4 linked regions of the Cricetulus griseus genome follow. The protein of the gene in region 3 purifies or fractionates together with the protein of the main gene of each other region. This does not show direct contact. Links are inferred from orthologs where the notes say so. Each region holds a gene or a part of one and is shown on either strand. Other genes may lie near its edges. The genes, in order: ubiquitin-conjugating enzyme E2 E1, Slc7a11, Otub1 and Ube2e3.

Region 1 (5,140 bases), on a different chromosome or scaffold from region 3:
CCATGGCTAGTACCTACCTTCCAAACCAATGATGCAGAACAGGCCTACATCAAACACCAATCCTAATTCTCCCTTTCATCCTTTCCTAGATACCCTTTCTACTTTTACCTTTTAACCTTAACTCTGCTTTAACACACAGTTATTGTTTCAACAAGGTACCTAGGAATCTAAATGTGCTGCATTAAAAGATACATAAAACATGTTAGTTTACAGGCAAAATTATTATTTACTCTTTTCCAGCTCCTCTTCCTACTTCCAACATTTCTTTACTAGCTGTTTCCAAATAAGGTCTCAGGCTGGCAATCTGAATGACAATGGATGTTTCTCTATTTCCGAAGGTTTTCTGAGGGTAGGAACTTCCCCAGTCACCACTCAATTTATTTTCCCTTTTACTGGGGAAGAAGTGCCAGCTAAAAATGGCAATGCTTGGTACATTATAGCTGGTATCTTCCTGCTCACCAAAAACCCTGGAAAGGGAACATCCATTGTTATTCAGATCACTGAGCCTGGACTACACGAGGCCCTGACTACAGGAGAGCCTGTCTCCAACTCAAGAATGCACTGTAGCCAAGGACTGTGAACTGATCCTCCTGCCTGGCAGAGCCTTGGGATTACAGGTCTGGGGACTGAACCCAGGGCTTCAAGCATGCTAGGCCAGTTCGCTACTATTTGAGGTACCAAATAAAGTTGATTTTGTTTTGGAGACAGTCTCCCTATCTATATTCAGACCTCCTGGACCTCTCTTTGTAGAACAGGCTGACTCTGAACTCACAAGAGATCTATCTGCCTGCTTCTATTTCCAAGGACTGAGCTGATAAAAGGCCTGTACCACCATGCCCAGAACTAAGTTTTTAACTTCCATAGCATAAACAGACAAACTATATCCGCAGAGAAATCCAATTGTTTATACTCTACTTTTTTATACCTGTCCATTTTCCTCCCACTATAGTTACAAACACACTGAGGGCCTTCTAGCACAACACAAAAGCTGCACTGACCTAAGGGGGTGGGTCCAAAGCAGAGTGAGGATGGAGAGATTAAGAACACTGGGAGAGAGAAGCGCCATCTTCAGCAAGGAGGGGAGAACCCAGGCTCAGAGACAGTTCACATGGGCTTAATCAAAGAGGGCAGGTTAAGACTCAGGAGGGCCTGAGATACTATCACACCAACCCTTTGAAAATGAGAACAACCTTACCAAGGCAGCTCGACACCCTCTCAAGACCTGATCATTAACTATGGAGAATGGGCTGAAGTCACTACCATCAGGCCAGTTAGGTCACTAAAACAGTATACCAAGAATTTCAGGTCAGGGAAAATGACAGAACAAACTGTCAATCTGAGTTCCAGGCTCACTACTCAGCAGAGAGAGCCAAAGTCACTTAAATGTCCCATTTCATTTTAAATTCTAGTCCAATTTCCATTCCTTGCTATGGTTAACTATCTCAATGAAAAGAGAAGGATTTTTGAAAGGATGTCAGGGGCTTCCCAGGTCTCTGCTAGACTACAGGGATCAGGGAATGTCATTAAAGGTTGACAGAGACAAAGTATTCACCCGTCTTTTTACATAAGAGACTAACCCTCGGTGTAGTGAGTGGCTCACTCCTGAAGGCCAGCCTGGGCTAGAGCATAAGACACTGTCTAATAAAACAACAAGGCCTCCTTGAAAACTATCAAAATGAAGTTCTTAAACAAACAAACAAAACTATCTCTTCTTAAACAAGCCAACAAAACTATCTCCCAAAATACCTGAAATAATCATTTTACTGTTATTTACTGACTCATCTGCCCCAAACCGGAAAAGGCTCTTCAAATTCCACCAGAAAACATCACCTCAGTTTCTTAAGCACTAATGGGAGTTGATTATTCCTTAAGCAAGTTATGGAGAAAACTCTATTCAGAAAACGTCATCCCTGCAACAGGTGAGGAAGAGAGATGGTCAGAATTCATTGACAGAGTTCCCGGAAGGTACCCTTAATTATAAAGGAGGGTGACAGCCTCTGAGAAGTCACAGATTCGTGATTACCAGGACGAGGACTCTGAAATCACATTCAGAGTCACTCATAAAAGTAATGAGGATTCTCGAAACTTCATCAAGAAATAGACGAGGCCAGCCACAACTGCTGCTTATGGGCAAGGGCATTAACAAAACCAGAAACAGTAAGCAGGAGAGAAAACAGGTGGGACTCCATGCCCCATTTTCCTGCCAGAGAACATATGAGAACGTCGTTGAAGCCACCCTCCCTGACATGCAGCACGAGGCAACTGGGAAGCTAGGACTCCTGGAGAAAGGAGTGGGGTACCTCTTGGCGCTGGTGGAGAGGAGCTTCGAGTTTTTGCTCATGCTGACTTTACTCTCCTTCTTCTTGGGGGTGCTGGCTTCTTTCTCGGTCTGCTGGTTGGAGGATGAAGATGAAGAGGAGCTGGTGCTGGCCCTCGAATCGTCATCCGACATAGCGAACCCCCCACCCCACCCCGCGAACGGCCCCTGCAGGGGTAGGAAACAAAACAGAAACACAGACCATGCAGGCGCTGCAAAGAGGGAACTCCGCTGTCAGGAGGGCGCGGGCCGGGCCGCCCCCGCCGCCCTGCAGAGGATCGGGGCCCACCGCCGCACCGGCCGAAGATCCGCGGGGGCCGCGATCGCGCGGGGGCGGCCCGGGTAGGGCCGGGAGCCGCCGCCGCCGTCCCCGAGGCCTCCCGGCGTCCCCCTCGAGTTTGGCGAGGTCGGGACGAGCCGGGCAGGGAGAGTGGGTGAGGAAGCCGAGCGTGGGCCGCGTGGGCCGCGGGACACGGCGCCTGGCCAGGCCCGGCCACGCGGGGCTGCGCTCGCAGGCCGGCGCGCACAATGCGCCCCGGGCGGGCGGGTCCCCGCGGGGACCGGGCCGCGCTGACAGTTCGCGCGGTCCCCATCGCCCCGGCCCGCCGCCCCATCCCCGCCGCCCGGCCCTCGGCGCCCCCGGCCCGGCCCTGCTGCCCGCGGCCCGGCGGTGCCGCCCGCCCCCGGCCCCGCGGCCCCAGGCCCGCGGCCCGCCCGCTCGCCGCCCGCCCCGGGGCCCCCCGCACCTCTCTTTGTGTCTGGCTGCTCCGTGCCGCCGCGGCGGCTGCTGCTGCGGCTGCGGCTGGGCCTGGCCACTCGTGTCTCGCTCTCGCTGGGAGAGAAGCGGAAGTGCAGCAACAGCAACTATTAACCAGGCAATGGCTTCCCCGGCCGCACACGCTCCGCGCCACTCCTCCTCTCCGCCCCGCCCCGCGCCCCTCCCCCGCCGCACCTGGGGGCCGCGGCCCGGGATCCCCGAGCGACCCCGGCGTGGCCTGGGGACCCGGAGCCCGGCGGAGCCGAGGGAGCCCGGCGGGATGGGGGAGACGACTGCGTTCAGGTGGAGCCTGGGGTGATCGGGGGAAGTTCTTCCCAGGAGGGCTTTAGGAAAGGGCTGGGGGTGAGGGGGCCGGTGTCGGGGGGGAAAGATGGTACTCTCCGGGCGAGGACTTTGACTCCTCCTCAAAAGTGGCCGGTGTAGAGAAAGAAAGAAAAAAATCCCCCAACAGGATTTTCCTTTGGGCTGACACTTGTTTCTCCCTCTGGCAATTTAACTTGCTAGGAGCAGAGGTCACGCCTGTGAGAAAAATCCCAGACTCGGTTTCTGTTCAGGATACCAGGCGTGAGCAATTTACAACATTAGATACAACCCCTTCACTTGTTATAGAAAAGGATGTGGGGGTTTTTATGTACGCGATTGGAGTTCATGACAGGTAACTGGGATCTGTAACCGGGCTTGGGAGTTGTAAGATCACTGGGAATAAACCTTAAACTGCCGGTTTTGACAAGACTTGGAATTCTTAAATTAGGTATAAAGTCTGAGTTTTAGAAATTGAAAGAAAGCTCTAGAAAGCACCCTGCTTTCGCTCCAGTACGATGCTATTCAAACAATAATTTTAGAATAATCACACAGTAATGTCACTAAATTGTTCCTTTCGTGGCACTGTACCAAATTTTATTTTTGAAAACATTCCACCATTAAATTAGGGCTTAGTTTCTTGCCTGTTTGTCGTTTGCCCTGAAGGTAAAAACAAATCCCTATAGTCCAAGTACAAGGTACCACAGACACAAGATCTTGTGTAATGCCCAGACAACCGCACTCAGATTTCCATGGTCCACTTCAAATTATCTCATTCAAATTGTCATTGCCTCCCAAGGCAACCGAGTCTTCAGTTACTGTAACACATGATATAAAGCTTAAGGCATATATAGTAACCAGGCAAGCAGGCATTCTCACTATACGGGTAAACCCCTTCTAGCCTTTAATCTGAAACTCCAGCTGGGTCTGTAAGATTCATAAAGTAATTGTGCACTTTATTCACTCAGTCTCTAAGGAAATCTGTACCTAATAGGAGTTGTCTCCAAACACATGTAAAATCACTGGTGAGACTTCCACAGGTCATCATTTTGAGCCTCCTGTCAAAAAGAGCTGTTCCTCCACTACCCAAAGCATATGCATTTTTGAAGAAATGTGTTTGATTTTGTATGTGCTGGTACAGTTTATAAATGATAACATTGGCGGGTCATGGTGGTTCAAGTGTTTAAACCCTGCATTGGGAGTTTAAGGCCAGCCTAGTCTGGATCTCTGTGAGTTCGAGGTTAACCTGGTCCACAGAGCTGCGTTCCAGGACAGGCTCCAAAGCTGAAAAAAACAAACAAACAAAAAAGCCCAGCCTAAGTTCCAGAATCTCCATAGATATATATTGAGACCTTATCTCCAAAAAATCATAGAAAGCTAGAAATTAATAAATGAAGATAGCTATGTTATTCAGAATATTCTGAGGTAAAGATTACTATTTGTTTTAAAACTTTATTTCTTTTTGGTTTTTCGAGACAGGGTTTCTCTGTGTAGCTTTGGAGCCTATCCTGGCACTCACTCTGGAGACCAGGCTGGCCTCGAACTCATAGAGATCCGCCTGCATCTGCCTCCCGAGTGCTGAGACTAATGTCGTGTGTCACCACTGTCCAGCTAGCCATGGATCTTATTCAAGATCATGCAATACAACACTGAAGCTTTACCACCCACATACCACCTTCAGTTCTGGCAATATTGGCATGATAGAAAGGCCTCAGTTTTATTAAAGAAAATATATTAAATAAAAA
Region 2 (4,536 bases), on a different chromosome or scaffold from region 3:
TTTTAGATGTGTGTTTGTGTGTGTACATGTTTGTGTGTGTGTGTGTGTGTGTGTGTGTGTGTGTGTGTGTGTGTGTGTGTGTATGTGTGTGCGCGCACACACATTTGTATGCCTGCAAATGATGATGTGCACATAAGCACAGGTGCTTACAAAGGCAAGAAGAGGGCATCAGATACCCTGAAGCTGGAGCAACACATGGTTTGTATGGATGCTGGGAGCTGAACTCAGATCCTCTGTTTTTAGGTGCAGAGCATCCTCTCAAGTCCCAACAGATCTCAGTGTGCATAATTTCCTTCTATTAAGGCATAGAAATGTTTCAGGAAAATGGGCATTTTTGATTCACCTTGTCAAGTTTTCATAAAACTATATTTAGAAGTTGATTGCTTTGAGAAAAAAATATTGTTCTTTATGTAACACAACCATGTCCATCTTGGCTCCCATCCTCATATTCTATCACTATGAATACTTGGTCTCATGATGTGGGCAATAGCTGATATTTGACTTAAAAGAGAGTGTTGTATATACATCCTCTTCCTTTTCTCTTCTTGGCCCCCTTTTATTGAACTAAAGGTCAGTTTTAAAACATGTTCCTTTCCTATTTGAGTAATCTCATTTGCTGTTTTCCTTGGGGGTGGTGGATGACACAGATAATTTTTTGGTTAGTTTTGAATCTGTGCTTACTAACACAAATCTGGTTTTGTAATCTACCCAAAAGATTCAAAGGAAAAGATACCCGCTCTCCACAACATAGAGGGGGAGGGGGTGTGATGGACAAAAGTGTTCAGTCTGCATGTTGATGCCAACGTTGGTAAAACTTGGTTTGAGGTTTGGTACAATTTCTTATTCATATTTTTAGAAGAAAATGGTGGGATGGGCCAATACAGTGTCAATAAGTTACCTCTACAAAGAGTGGGCATGGGAACCTTGATATGAACCTTTATATGAACAAGCCTTTTGGGTTTTGACAGTGAGTTTTGTCTGCAGCCTTCCCTGCTTTAGGAGGCAGGTGTCCAATGTACTCCAGGGATAAACAGCAGGGTGTTAAGTGATGTGATGTGGGAGGCAGGACAAGCATTTCTTGATGCCTCCTCAGTCAAGGCAGACTCTGAGATTTCTTTTCATCCCTACTATGCCATTCATTATCTTCTAAGAATTTTGACAAACTTAAAACTTCAATTAATAGGAGAAGCTTTAGTCTACTATCCTGGTTAAAATAGAGGACACTCAAACAATGGAAATGATATCACCTATTTTAAGTGCCACTTTCATCCTGCTCGTCATCTACAAAAGAACTTTAAAATGGTCTAGGTGACAACAAGTGTGCATTTGAGACTCCTGCCCTAGCGTGGTTGCAGTATCAATAGAGTTGGCTGTGAACAGAGAGTCAGAACAGGGCAGCTCACCTCCCAACCATGTCAGGGTTGGAACAAATAATAGAAAATTCTTTGCAAAGCTCTAAAAATCCTTGCATCCTAATTGCAGGTCATACACAGCACTTTGAAGATGCATTTTCAGGAAGAGATGCAAATCTAATGGGGTTGCCCTTGGCTTTTTATTATGGGATGTATGCATATGCTGGTTGGTAAGTGGATATCTCCAGATACTTCATTAAATTGCTTCATTTGCCTTTTCTCTTGTTAATCTGTCTTTTATCATAGGAGTGTCAGCTTTGACCCCAGTAACGGATGAGGAAGCACATCACACATTTCTTCCCCAACTAGATTTTCATTATGTCAGGTACACAGTGATTATTTAGTCAAAGTTTCAAATAACATGGAATTCTCAGAAATGAAGACCTATAAAGCCAGGAAAAGTAATTTTCATGGCCAAAAGATATAGTGCAATGGTAATAGACTGGAGGGAAACTAAGTGACGTGTTGGTTCAGATTCTTCTTGACTTTTTTGTGTAACATTTCTTCCCCCTGGGAGAGAATAGAACCTCTCTCAACCAAGGCTCTTACGATGTATTATGAGACAAAGTGGAGCATAGAACAGTGCAGCTGCTTTCCACAGAAAGGCAGGAGGAAGTGTGAGACATATTTCTAGGTTTTACAGTTGCCTTTGTGGGAGATAGGTTCTAGTTTATGGGAACACTTAGGTAAGACTGATTATCTTCTGCAGCTTACCCTGGGAGAAAGAGAAGCATGAAGGGAAGGTGGGAGGATACTTGAAACTGATCCTTCTTCAGAGGTCCTTCCAGTTTCCTGCAGTGTGGCAAAGCTTCAAACTTATACAGTTAGGAGTCCCTGATGAGTCAGGGTTGTTATTAGATTCAGCTCAGTGGCATAAAAATAAACAAACAAACAGATGCTGGTTTTCAACAGTCAGTATACATTACTTCTAATTATTCATCAGTTAGGATGAAATAGTGCCATGGGATACTTGGATTAGTACCCTCCCTGTCAAAAGGCCTTTGTGCTAGAGTACCATGGATATTTATAAATAGTGGTTAATGACTTTTTGTCTACCCTGTTATGAGGAAGAAACAATTCAGATGTAGAAATGAGATGGTCTCAGGAGATCAAAATGGTTCGTATGATAAAGACAGGATAGGAGAAATCAAAGTAATAAAAATCAAATAGTATACAGCATATTCACGGGCCTTTACATATTTCATCTAAATGCTTCCAGTAGCTGAAAGCACAAACAGGCAGCAAATGTGATTGGCACCACGATGCCATGGATGCGTTTATTTCCTTCATGCTTGTCTGCCTGTGATTCCTCCCTGCCCTGGCGCAGCACTGTTTTGTTGAGGAGCATGAGTCACAGTAATCAAATATTAGAGAGGAACTTCCTGTAACTAAATTGTATTGACCTTCTAAGTTGAAATGACTATTTCAAGAGAGCCCACTAGGTGAAACGATATTGTTGAAACACTAAAATCATTGCAGGACGATTAATTTTCATTGTTTTGGAGTAAATAATGGTAATAGTTCTTTTTCCATATTTATAAAACCAATAGTTAAAGCTGTGACAATACTCCTAAAAATACTATCTAGAAACTTCAGTATCTCAACAATTATGTGAATGTGAATATGTATATAACATGAATACAATTTTTCTCTTCTTTATTCCTTCTTTTTTGTTTATGTTTTTGGATCTTATCTTTTAGGGAATATACAAATGCATTCCAAAATCAATAGAATATGTACCCTATTAATCTCACAAATTGTGAAAATACGGCATTAGAAGAGAATCAGCAGAGTGTAGCTACATGGGTTTAGCATAGCTTTGAAGCAAAATGTGTTTGAAGGCTGTTGGGTTATAGCATAAGAAGATCAGTGTAAAATATTTGTATACCCGAAGAAGATTTTCTTGCAGCCATTGTGTGCACGCTTTAGTTTTGAATCTCAATGGTTTTGAAGTCTTTTCACTTTTGTTCAAAGCACAATGTGGTGCTAAGCAGAGAAAAGAACTGAGTGTGATCACAGTGTTAGGAGCAGAATCAACTCCTCTATGTCTTTTGAGCCTGAATCAGGGCGCCATGCCCTGGGGCAGCAGCCAAGCCACAGTGAGGGTCCCTGGGAGCCCCAGAGCAAAGCAGGGGAGGGAACAAGAGCTTTCAGCTCCAGCTGGGTGCTGGGAGCCTGTTGTACTCTGTCAAGAATGTGGAATGTGGTGATCTTCACAAGGCAGATTTGATTAATTCTGTTGAATGGAGTTTCTTTTGCCTGGGAGCACCATGCATCTGTTCCCACGGAATATTAAAGCATTTCTACCCTCTCTCCACCACCACCCGGCACTGAATATTCAGGTCACCTGCTTCATGTACAGCCAATTTTCTCCACTTCTGAGGGTTTTGAGGAGTGCTGGAATTTTTTGTGGAAAAAGACTCTCTTCATCTTGACTTATCTTATTAATATTGTATTTTACTGATGCTGAGTCCGAAGTGCCACTGTTTTCACCTCTAATGGAGGTTTACCGAAAACTTGATATATACTCCCCGCCCTCTGCCCCCCCCCCCCAGTAATCCTTGTGTCTTAACCCTAGCTTGAAGAGCCAGGAACCATAATTTCATTTTTGTGTGTGTGTGTGTGTGTGTGTGTGTGTGTATGTGTGTTTGAGGGTTCAGTCACACTATTGGAAAGTAAGTCTAGGATTGTAAATGAGATGTTATCTGATCCAAGTGGCTTAGCTGGGGAATGATAGGGAACTATTTTGCTTCATGGGTTATTATGCTGGCTTAATGCTGCTTTGGAAAGAGGAGGAATGATCTGGTTATGAATCTATGGCCCTCGGTCTTAGAAAAAAAAGCACAAGTACAAGAAAGAATCTTTGGGCTCAGTACTCCATAGATGTAGATATTTCCATGTAAATGTATCAAGGTGGAGTCTGAAATGGGTCTCAAAGATGGGAGCATTGTAAGAAAAACCTTTGCTATCTGAATCCTCCATCTTTTACCTTGTGAGTGCAAAACTGGCTTGCACACTTGTAAATTGGGACTGTAAATGGCTACCATTCCCTGCATTGCTGTAGAATAATGTTTATTTAAGTGGGGAAAGAAAAGGAAGAAATAAACCCAATGTGGAGACATTG
Region 3 (4,129 bases):
GTTGTGTTGTCACTCTCCAGAGGCTGGGCCAGGGAGGGCTGAATTGACTCTGCTATAGTAGCTCTAGGTTGTTTTTGACCTTGGTCGGACAAAAGCCTTCCATAGGAGTTTCTGTTTTTATTGGAAGACCCACCTGGATCTTACATACCTGTGGGGTCTGTAAAGTATAATCTATAAACTAGATTCATGTCCTTGAATCTGAAGGAAGACATGAGCTAGTGGTGAGTATTGGGGTAGCTAAGTAGCAGATGTCAGGGCCAAGTTCTGAGTGTGAAGGGACTCTCATTACTGAGGGTTGCCTGAGGGTTGTCATCTGGCAGGTGTCTTGAGGAAGGATACAGTGTGATTTGGTGGGAGCCTCGCCTTTTAGAATGGAGAAAGATGAGGGGTAGCCTGAGAGAGATAAGTAAAGGAGGAAGGATCAGGCTGAAGAGAGCAGGGGTAGGGGTGTCCAGGTGAGTGAGACCTGTTTACCAAGCTTCACTAGGGGTTGCTTTCATGGGGATGGGCTTCGTTTGGAGAAAGTGGAAACAGCTGAAGGAGATGGTCCCTGTCCTTGACTAATGCAGCGTGGTTGGGAGGTAAAAGTGGATGGGGGAGCTGGTTTAGCCTCAGATTATAGAGAGAGCTGCTCTCTGTGGCTGGAGCCATGCTAGGCTAAGGAACCTCAGGCATCCAGGCAGCTGGTAGTATGGCCTGTTCTTTTCCCCTGCTTTGCCTTGCTTGTATTGAAAGACCTGGAAAGTTGAGTTAGTCAAGGACAGATTTGGTCATCTGTTTTTATAAGCAAATGGCTCTGTGGCCAGTAGCACCCACATGGCAAGCAGCTGGTGACCACACAACCTGTTGACACATAAGTGCACAGCTTCTGGGAACCTCCAGGGGAGGGCTCTGTTCCAGTGGGTGACTTGGTGCCCTCATTCAGCAGCCTGGAGGTGGGAACCTGGAGTTGAGTTGCCGCCTGCTGCTATGGCCATTTCTTGGGCTGGCCCTGGCCTGGCTGGATGTTAAACTGGGCTGCTCTTCTACAGGACCTTCACAAAAAGTACTCATACATCCGCAAGACCAGGCCTGATGGCAACTGCTTCTATCGAGCATTCGGCTTCTCCCACTTGGAGGCGCTGCTGGATGACAGCAAGGAGCTGCAGCGGTGAGGAGAGCACTGGGGGCTCCAGGCCCCTCCTGATGGATAGGAGATCTGGGCCTTAGGCCAGCCATCATTTGGGTTGGTTGTTTGGGACTTCTTTTTGAACTTGGTGGTGGGTGGTCTTGTCTAGGCAGGCCTGGGCTGGCTAAGCCCTTGCTCTGCTGGCTGAGAAGCCCATGCTGGCCCTCCCATCCCTTCCCACCCACAGGTTCAAGGCTGTGTCTGCCAAGAGTAAAGAGGACCTGGTGTCCCAGGGCTTCACTGAGTTCACAATCGAGGACTTCCACAACACGGTGAGCCTAGCTATTTCAGGCTCACCCCAACAGTGGGGTGGCTCTGTAGGCTGTGGTAGGGTGGCCTCTCCTTACTCATTTTCCTCCTCTTATCTCTGGTCCCCGGGTGGGGCAGTTCATGGACCTTATCGAGCAGGTGGAGAAGCAGACCTCCGTAGCTGAGCTGCTGGCCTCCTTCAATGACCAGAGCACCTCAGACTACCTTGTGGTCTACCTGCGGCTGCTCACCTCAGGCTACCTGCAGCGAGAGAGCAAGTTCTTCGAGCACTTCATAGAGGGTGGCCGGACTGTTAAGGAGTTCTGCCAGCAGGTGCCACCTCCTCTTCAACTCTGCCCTGGGACCCTCTTTTTCTCTTTTGTTTAAGGGTGGGACATGCTGGGTGAGGTTGGGACCTGGGGAGGGGGAGGGTTTTGGGACAGGCCTGACCTGCCCCTGTACCACAGGAGGTGGAACCCATGTGCAAGGAGAGCGACCATATCCACATCATCGCCCTGGCGCAAGCCCTCAGCGTGTCCATCCAAGTAGAGTACATGGACCGTGGTGAGGGCGGCACCACCAACCCACATGTCTTCCCTGAGGGCTCCGAGCCCAAGGTCTACCTTCTCTACCGGCCTGGACACTACGATATCCTCTACAAATAGGGCCGGCTGGCCTGCTGCGTCCTGCCTCCCTCCCCCTGCCAGGCACTAGACATGTACAGAGGGTTTTTTGTTTTGTTTTGGTTTTTTTTTTGTTTGTTTTTTTGTTTTGTTTTGTTTTTTGTGGTTGTAAATGGTCATATTTCACTCCTCCCTTTTCCCTGTCACACAACCTTCCATGTTTTATTAAAGGGGATGCTGGTGGTGAGCCTGAGTGTGCGTTTCCCTGCTCTGCTGCTCTTCCCTACATGTCTACTGGCTGCTGTATGTCTGGCTGTCCCTTCCCCCAGGGTGGGTCCCTCAGCTTTCTTCCTATCCACCCCAAGTGTCTCTGCCAAGAGAAATTTGAGGGGGCTAGGCCTCCATGCTCCTTAGAGTTCTGCTTTCTATCTACCCATAAGGCCTGCCCCCTTTCCTCCTTGACTTTCCAGGGGTTTCCATGGGAACTTTTGAAGTTCCTTGGGCACTTGGCTGGAGGTCTCAGGTCACCCACACTCAAAGCTGCTCCTTAGAGTAACAGATTTGCTATTCTGGCCAGAGCTTCCAGATCACAGCTTTCTGCCCACCTCCAGGGGTCTGCATGATTGAGGAGTCCTGAGACGAGAAGGTTATGGGAGGAGGCTGGCCCAGGTAGATGGGGGAGCTGCTCATCCTCTGGGCCCCAGGAAGAACTGACTTGGTGTGGGAGGAGCAGAAGGCCTCATTCCTATCTAGGCAGGGCTTGCCTGTTACTGGTTCCCCAGAGCTCCCTGCCTGTGCTTGCTCTGCACCCCTTTGCTTGGGCCATATCTGCATTACCTGCCTCTTTGCCTTCTCCTCCCCACCCCCAGCACATGTGGGATCTCAGCCCAGGCTGTGAGCTCCTTGGGGGCAGGCCCTCAATAAATGTGAAGTGCTGCAGCCGCCACCGCCTCTGCTCTCTGGCCAATGGCTCACTCACCCGCCTGGCTCACCCAGGGCTCTTGGAGCCACTTGAAGCAAAAACAGCCCCAAGACACCTTACCCCTGGGCCCCAGCCAGACCCAGACCCCAGCACTCAGACAAGTGAGGCTGAATCAGACATCTTTATTAAGAGGCTTCTGAAAGGCAGGGCAGGACATACTGAGGGACAGGACAGAACTCGGGGTGGCCAGGCTGGAACAAGCTGTTCGGCTTCTCTCAGAGTTGGGAGCGAGGTCCCACAGGCCCAGGTGGGTCTGATGGTAGAGCAGATAGATCAAAGGAGTTTAGGACTTCTGAAGGCCCCTGGGCCCCTCCCCAGCTTCACCACCCCACTGCATGGAGGTGGGCAACAGCAGATTGAGCAGGTGTTAGAGGGCCAGGTTAGTGTAGGGTGGCCACACCACACTGGGCCAGGCCCTGCTTACCAGTCCCATTCAGGGTGGGCTTCAGGAGCCTCAGGCTGGAAGGCAGAGGACAGTGAGAGCCGCCCAGGGCCATGGGGGAGGGGTAGGCTAGCCTGGGGGGCCCCGGAGGAAAAGGAGGGCACATACCTACTGGGAAGTAATGGGGCAGGCGCTCTCGGTAAATGTCCTCGTCCTTCTCCAGGAACACACAGATGATAAGCCGATCCACCTGCGCCAGGGATTGCTGAGCCCGGGTGGGGCCTCCACCGGGCCATCAGTCCCAGTACTTCGTGCTCCCCAAACCCACCCACAGTGGCAGGGTCTCAACTGCCTACTATGGGTGTACTGTCCGTGGAGATTTGAGAATCAACAGTACCCATCATAGAAGGGGTTCAGGCTGCACGCTCAGCCCCTTCCCATCGGCTGTCCCACAACAAATAAGCCCACGGGGGGGGAGTGGGCCTGGGGAGGGCAGGTACCGACTGGCCGCACCTACCCAGAACTAGGTGCCCCTGCTCCCGCCTCGCTGCCAACCATTCTCTCCAGTCTCACCTTGTCCTTGTGCTGCTCCAGCCACCCCCGCAGCGCCGCCAGCACTACCTCAGCTGCCTCCTCATTAGGGTATCCTGAGGGCATGGTCTGTTGAGTTCAAATCTGGCCCCGCCCCGCCCACCTTGACAAATGGGGCCCTCACTGCCCACCCT
Region 4 (5,248 bases), on a different chromosome or scaffold from region 3:
ATGGAATTTTTGTTAACCATTAGCCTTTGGGCCCTCAGGCTATTTTTAGGGTATTTGAATTTCCCTCAGAAACTCACCTTTTATACACAATCAGGGCTGCATCCCAAACATGCCCAAACTTCAAACTGGCTGGCTGCTGCTCCACTGTCTCATCATGTAAAGTTGGGAGTCTTCTGCGTCGCCCTGCCCACCTGTACCCTTTCAGTCAAATCAAAATGTTGGTGTGTGGATGCACACACAGATCACAGTCCCTCTGGAGACTGGACTTTGTCCTAACTGGGAAACCGTTCCCTTCCTCTCATCCAGGTGAACTTCAGTAATGGAGTCCTCTGACAGACCTGGAACTCCTGGCAGGAAGTAAGGAGACTAGGCTTTGGACATACCAACTGGGACAGGTTATAGTCTCTGTGTAAGCTTGCCCAGTGTGTGTCTTGGGAAAGTTACACGTGTGGCTTATAGTTCTGAGTAGCTCTTTTACCCAAACTTTTTTATATGGAGGAAAACTAGTGTGTTGGCTCACTTAGTTATTTTTCTTTCTCTTGAACACTGGCTCATCTCACAGAGCTCTGCCATTCTTGCTTCTTCTGTGAACTCATTCTCCCAGCACTTTTGCCCTGGACACTTGTGGGAGAGGAATGCACAAATTCCTTTGAGGTTCCATCACTGGAACACGTTCTCAGGAGCTGCAAACAGGAAGTTTTTGTACTTCTGTCTACTTTGTGCTTGGGGCAAAACTGGTCTCCACTTAAGATTCTGCAAAAAGAAACACAAGAGTAGCGCAACCTTCATGATTCCTCCCTAAAAGTTTTTATGAGGCCACTGCCATAGATCCACCCAGGGCTTCTCTATCCAGAACTGGTGTTTCTCATGCAAGGCAGAGCCTGCTGCCAGAAATGTCAGGTTATAGACCCCCCTCCCCCCCCAATCGCCTCACTCACTACATCTTGAGCGGGACATTTCAAAAATAGTTTGGGATTTCTAAGTTTTCAAAATGTCCAGAGGGCAGTCCCCTTTGGCATCGACACTGCAGGATGGGTGCCAGAGATTAGCTCAGGTTGGTCCCCTGGTCGCAAAATCCCCTCCACCTCCCTCAGAGACCTGGACTTCTTCACCTTGCCACTTCCTTTAGCTCACAGAGGGGCCAGCAGCGGCTTCCCTTTGCCCCAGTGCTTGGCCTCCTCAATCACACCATTCATTTCGTGCCTCTCGGGGCATCTGGGAAGCCTCAGCCACGCGCCCGGGCGGTTGCTCAGGTACGGGATCCCCTGGCAACCCCGGGGCCACTAGCCTCAGGGGCGGGTTGTCCAATGGGCAGCGTTGCCCCGGAGGCGGGCCCAGGCCGGAAGCCACCCGCGGCCCCGCGAGACCGCGCCCCCGCCTCCTCCCTCTCTTCCAGTACAAGCTCGGCGGCCAAGGGCGCAGGGGCCAGCCCGCCGGTCCCCGTCGCGCTCTTTGTCCCGGCCGCGCGCGGGCGGACTCGTGCGCATCTTACCCCCCCTCCTCATCCAACCCTACCCCCGTCGGTGGAAAGGAGGCGCGGCGGGGACGCGCGCGCGGGGGCGCGCAGGAGCAGCTCGCTCCCCGTCCGCCAGGCGAGCGGCGAGCACGCGCGGCCGCCGCGCCCGCCCCTCCCCCCTCCCTCCGCTCGCTCGCTCTCTCTCTTCGGAACTTGCTGACTGCGCGGCCGGGAGGAGCCGAGCCGAGCCGAGCCTAGCCGGGCGGCGGGAGGCTGAGCGCGCGGGGGGCTCCCGCGTCCCTGCCTCGGCCGGCGGAGCGCCCACCCCACCGTGGCTCCCGGAGCGCGGGGCGGCGCCACCCTCCGGCCGCAGCGCGGCACTGCACGGCCGCCTGCGACTTTCGATGTTCCACACTCCCGGGCCGGAGCCTCGGCGGCGGCTTTTTTTCCGCCCCCCCCGTTCCCCCCCCAGCTGCCTCCATTTCCTCAAGGAAGGCTCCTCGGCGCTCTCCCTCCCCCACAGCGTAGCGGCGCACGAGCGGGCCGGGGCGGCGGCCGAGGTAAGGCGGCGGGGCCGGGGCCCGCGTGGGGGGCGGCGGGGGCGGGGGCGGCAGCTTTGTTCGCGCCGGGCGCCGCGCTCCTCAGTCAGCCGCGCTCGTCAGTCAGCGGCGCGGGCGGCGGGTCCCGCATCCCCCGGCGGGCGGGGCGGCGGGCGCAGTGGCGCGGTCCCCTGCGCGGCCCTCCCCACAAAGGACCGCGGAGCTGCGTGGCCCGGCGCTCGCCCCGGGGCGGGCCGCGCCAATTTGTTGCACTTCTGGGGGTGGGGGGTGGGGGAGGGCTTTTGTTTGTTTGTTTGTTTTGCCCTCGGGCTTTTGGCCGCTTTGCGGAATTTTTTTTTTTTTTTTTTGACAAAATGTCGGTCGGTGAGGGAGGAATTGAGCGGGGGACGTCGGTGGCACCGGGAGCTTTGCAGAAGGTGCAGTTCGGATCCTGCCCTTCCCCGGGTGGCAGCTCCGGCTTGGCCGGGTGAATCCTCGCCGCTGGCCGTGGGGAAGGCGGTGGGGCGGCTGCCAGTTGATTTTTTTTTTTTTTTTTTTTTTTTTTTTTTTTTAATTTTGAGTGCTGTGTTCAAAGGCTTTCGGTGCGCACGGGAGGACCCGCCACCGTAAATAAGCATATGGGCGACTAACAGGGTATGTTTCCCTCTGGGAAGGAGGATTTGGTAGCTCAGACCGGTGTCAGCCTGTAAATATTTAGACGATATTAGTGACTTTTGAACATTCTCCGAGAGATCTGTTATTTACAGTTGTCATATGTTATTAATGCCCGTTGCCCAAGTTCCTTGGCAAATCTGTTTCATGCCTTCTGAGAAAGTAGACAATTGATAGATTGTCTTAAGGGATGGGGGAAAAATGTGAGTGGGTTTTCTAACTTGAGTTTGGTAAATCCCTCAGCGACTGCCTTATAAGACACATCGGCCTCCCTGTAACCTTGCTATACCTTAAGTATGGGGGCAGTCGAATCTTTTTCAATAAAAGACTAATAGAGAGAAGAACATGCTGCTGTTTATTATTATTATTATTATTATTATTATTATTATTATTATTATTTTAAGATTTAACATTTCTTGACGGTCCCTTCTCTCCTTAGAAGTTTTCCCAGAGATAACTTCACCAAGATGTCCAGTGATAGGCAAAGGTCGGATGATGAGAGTCCCAGCACCAGCAGTGGCAGTTCAGATGCTGACCAGCGAGACCCTGCAGCTCCAGAGCCAGAGGAACAGGAAGAGAGAAAACCTTCTGCCACCCAGCAGAAGAAAAACACCAAACTTTCTAGCAAAACGACTGCTAAGTTATCCACTAGTGCTAAAAGGTAATGTCTCCAAGGCAGGACTCACATTGTCAGGTTGCCTTCTGTCCCATAGGGTGGTTTTGTTGGTTTAACAACAGTGGCAATAGTTCAGAAATACTTCTCCATCAAATGTGTTTGAACTTGGATGAGCTGTCATTCTGTATGTGGTATATAAGCAGCCTTCCTACAGCTATTGACTTTAAAGCAAGGCTACTTTGTTCTGTACTGTGGTAACTTGAGGAGCTGTCTCAAATGGAGCTGAGGGTGATCCTGACAGATGAAGAGGGTAGCAAGGAAAATTTGGTGAACCCCCAATTAGATGGTACGTTGGAGAGGTTTCCTCTTGTGAGTCATGCTTGAGTGAAACTGACAATTCTAGAGAGCAGCAGTGCCTCTCTCCATAAAACTGAATGGTCAGAAATGGCAATATTTACTAGAAAATTGTTAAATACCAGGCTTGGCTATATTGGGAAGCAGGTCTTACCGAGTGCCTTAAATTGGTCCACAGTGTGTAGGACAAGACTTGAAATCTTGCAGCACAAGTGTGACTGGGTAAATTATTGTTATCCCTCCTGGTGATGGCAGATGAAACTGAAAAGTAGCCAATTACAGTTTTAGATGTTATTCGGTGTCGTGGTTGTCCTCCTTCTTCACTCTAAAACTTGTAGATATGTTTGACAGGCTAACTCAAAAGCAGGGGAAACATAACCAAGCCAGAGTTAAAGATCCCTTGTTTTCTGTTGATTTTCATATTCTGGGATGACAGATATGATCCTGCCATTGGGACTCTGAGTGATAGTCATATTGGGATACCTAGAGAAACTAGCAGTTAAAATGTGCTCACAGCATTACCCAGCACAGGTGTTTTTTTGTTGTTGTTTTTAATTGGTCATAAATGAAGGAAGAAAAATGTAAAAGCTGATGGAATGTTGCATTCTTCTTGTGAGCCAAACTCTTGGTATGGATTTTAACCACCAATCAAATGCTAACAGCTTTAGAATATTTTATTGACGAGGAACAGTGTTTGAAATAATCTAAATTGCCCGATTCATTGTAATCTTGTGGAGGAACGTATTAAATATGTCTCAAGTTTTGAAAACATCCTAAATTTGAAGAAAACCAGAGTTGCCTTTGCCTGTAACTTGAGCTTATATATTTGTCTTCTTCCCTGCTGCAAATTTATAGAACTTTAAAGGTATATCTAAAAATCAGAGGCAAACAGTTACAGTCAATGTGAGTGCCAGTTTGAAATTTTTCATTGGCAAACATGTTTATAATTTTTAAACTTTTCTGACAGATAAAATATCGCCAAAAACTATTAATGTGCTCTAGTAGCAGCCTATTCATTTTTAGCTCAGTAAAAAGTGACTTGAAATCATTGTCAAAATCTCTGGTGTTTTCCCTCCTCCCTTTTTGTCTCATTTGCATATAAGCTTGAAAAGAGAATTTCTTTGGTAAAGAGTGGTTTTTAGCAGATTATATATCCTTCACTTAGTAGTCAGAAAGGACTATTTCTCAAATCAGGTGTAAATGACACACTTATTTACAATAGCACGTGAGAAAAAGAGCCGCAAAGTTTCTGCTAAGGGATTTGGGTTATGCCTCTGAGAACAAAGAGGAAGCAGCCATGTTAGCATTACTGAAGGCAAAGCCAGCCTTGCATTTAACTGCATGGTGGTAGAGGGCAGTGTAATTCCCCGGTTATTCTGTAGACTGCCTCAGATCCTTTTTGTTTGTTCTCATTTCACTTACAGAATTCAGAAGGAGCTAGCTGAAATAACCCTTGATCCTCCTCCCAACTGCAGGTAAGAAACACATTTGTTGTTTGCATTTCAAGTTGTGGAAAAATATTGAGAAGGTAATGATCTTGCCTGCATGTATGTGCAGCCTAAGAAGCTGGTTTCATTTGTTTTATCTTGTGCACTAAACTAAAATTATCTG

What was found.
Region 1: the proteins of Otub1 (region 3) and ubiquitin-conjugating enzyme E2 E1 purify together in Homo sapiens (affinity purification with mass spectrometry; 4 studies listed by BioGRID and IntAct, with this or other methods). This does not show direct contact. The link is inferred for Cricetulus griseus from reciprocal best matches to the Homo sapiens genes OTUB1 and UBE2E1.
Region 2: the proteins of Otub1 (region 3) and Slc7a11 purify together in Homo sapiens (affinity purification with western blotting; 5 studies listed by BioGRID, with this or other methods). This does not show direct contact. The link is inferred for Cricetulus griseus from reciprocal best matches to the Homo sapiens genes OTUB1 and SLC7A11.
Region 4: the proteins of Otub1 (region 3) and Ube2e3 purify together in Homo sapiens (affinity purification with mass spectrometry; 3 studies listed by BioGRID and IntAct, counting the BioPlex papers as one, with this or other methods). This does not show direct contact. The link is inferred for Cricetulus griseus from reciprocal best matches to the Homo sapiens genes OTUB1 and UBE2E3.

What each region holds. Positions count from the first base shown.
Region 1 is NW_023276807.1:175,441,152-175,446,291, forward strand, and holds the start of ubiquitin-conjugating enzyme E2 E1, read right to left. Parts: upstream 3,223-5,140; 5' UTR 3,064-3,222; intron 2,910-3,063; exon of another isoform or gene 2,523-2,909; coding exon of another isoform or gene 2,520-2,522; intron 2,486-2,519; 5' UTR 2,453-2,485; coding exon 2,301-2,452; intron 1-2,300. UniProt on the Homo sapiens protein: Accepts ubiquitin from the E1 complex and catalyzes its covalent attachment to other proteins. Catalyzes the covalent attachment of ISG15 to other proteins. Mediates the selective degradation of short-lived and abnormal proteins.
Region 2 is NW_023276806.1:101,013,062-101,017,597, forward strand, and holds part of Slc7a11 (cystine/glutamate transporter), read left to right. Parts: intron 1-1,482; coding exon 1,483-1,582; intron 1,583-4,536. UniProt on the Homo sapiens protein: Heterodimer with SLC3A2, that functions as an antiporter by mediating the exchange of extracellular anionic L-cystine and intracellular L-glutamate across the cellular plasma membrane.
Region 3 is NC_048596.1:52,258,859-52,262,987, forward strand, and holds the end of Otub1 (ubiquitin thioesterase OTUB1), read left to right. Parts: intron 1-1,031; coding exon 1,032-1,150; intron 1,151-1,355; coding exon 1,356-1,440; intron 1,441-1,555; coding exon 1,556-1,750; intron 1,751-1,884; coding exon 1,885-2,082; 3' UTR 2,083-2,982; downstream 2,983-4,129. Other genes in the region: ADP-ribose glycohydrolase MACROD1, read right to left, coding at 3,238-3,275, 3,573-3,654, 3,978-4,051. UniProt on the Homo sapiens protein: Hydrolase that can specifically remove 'Lys-48'-linked conjugated ubiquitin from proteins and plays an important regulatory role at the level of protein turnover by preventing degradation.
Region 4 is NC_048599.1:96,288,278-96,293,525, reverse strand, and holds the start of Ube2e3 (ubiquitin-conjugating enzyme E2 E3), read left to right. Parts: upstream 1-1,879; 5' UTR 1,880-2,016; intron 2,017-2,628; exon of another isoform or gene 2,629-2,649; intron 2,650-3,106; 5' UTR 3,107-3,134; coding exon 3,135-3,328; intron 3,329-5,061; coding exon 5,062-5,112; intron 5,113-5,248. UniProt on the Homo sapiens protein: Accepts ubiquitin from the E1 complex and catalyzes its covalent attachment to other proteins. In vitro catalyzes 'Lys-11'- and 'Lys-48'-, as well as 'Lys-63'-linked polyubiquitination.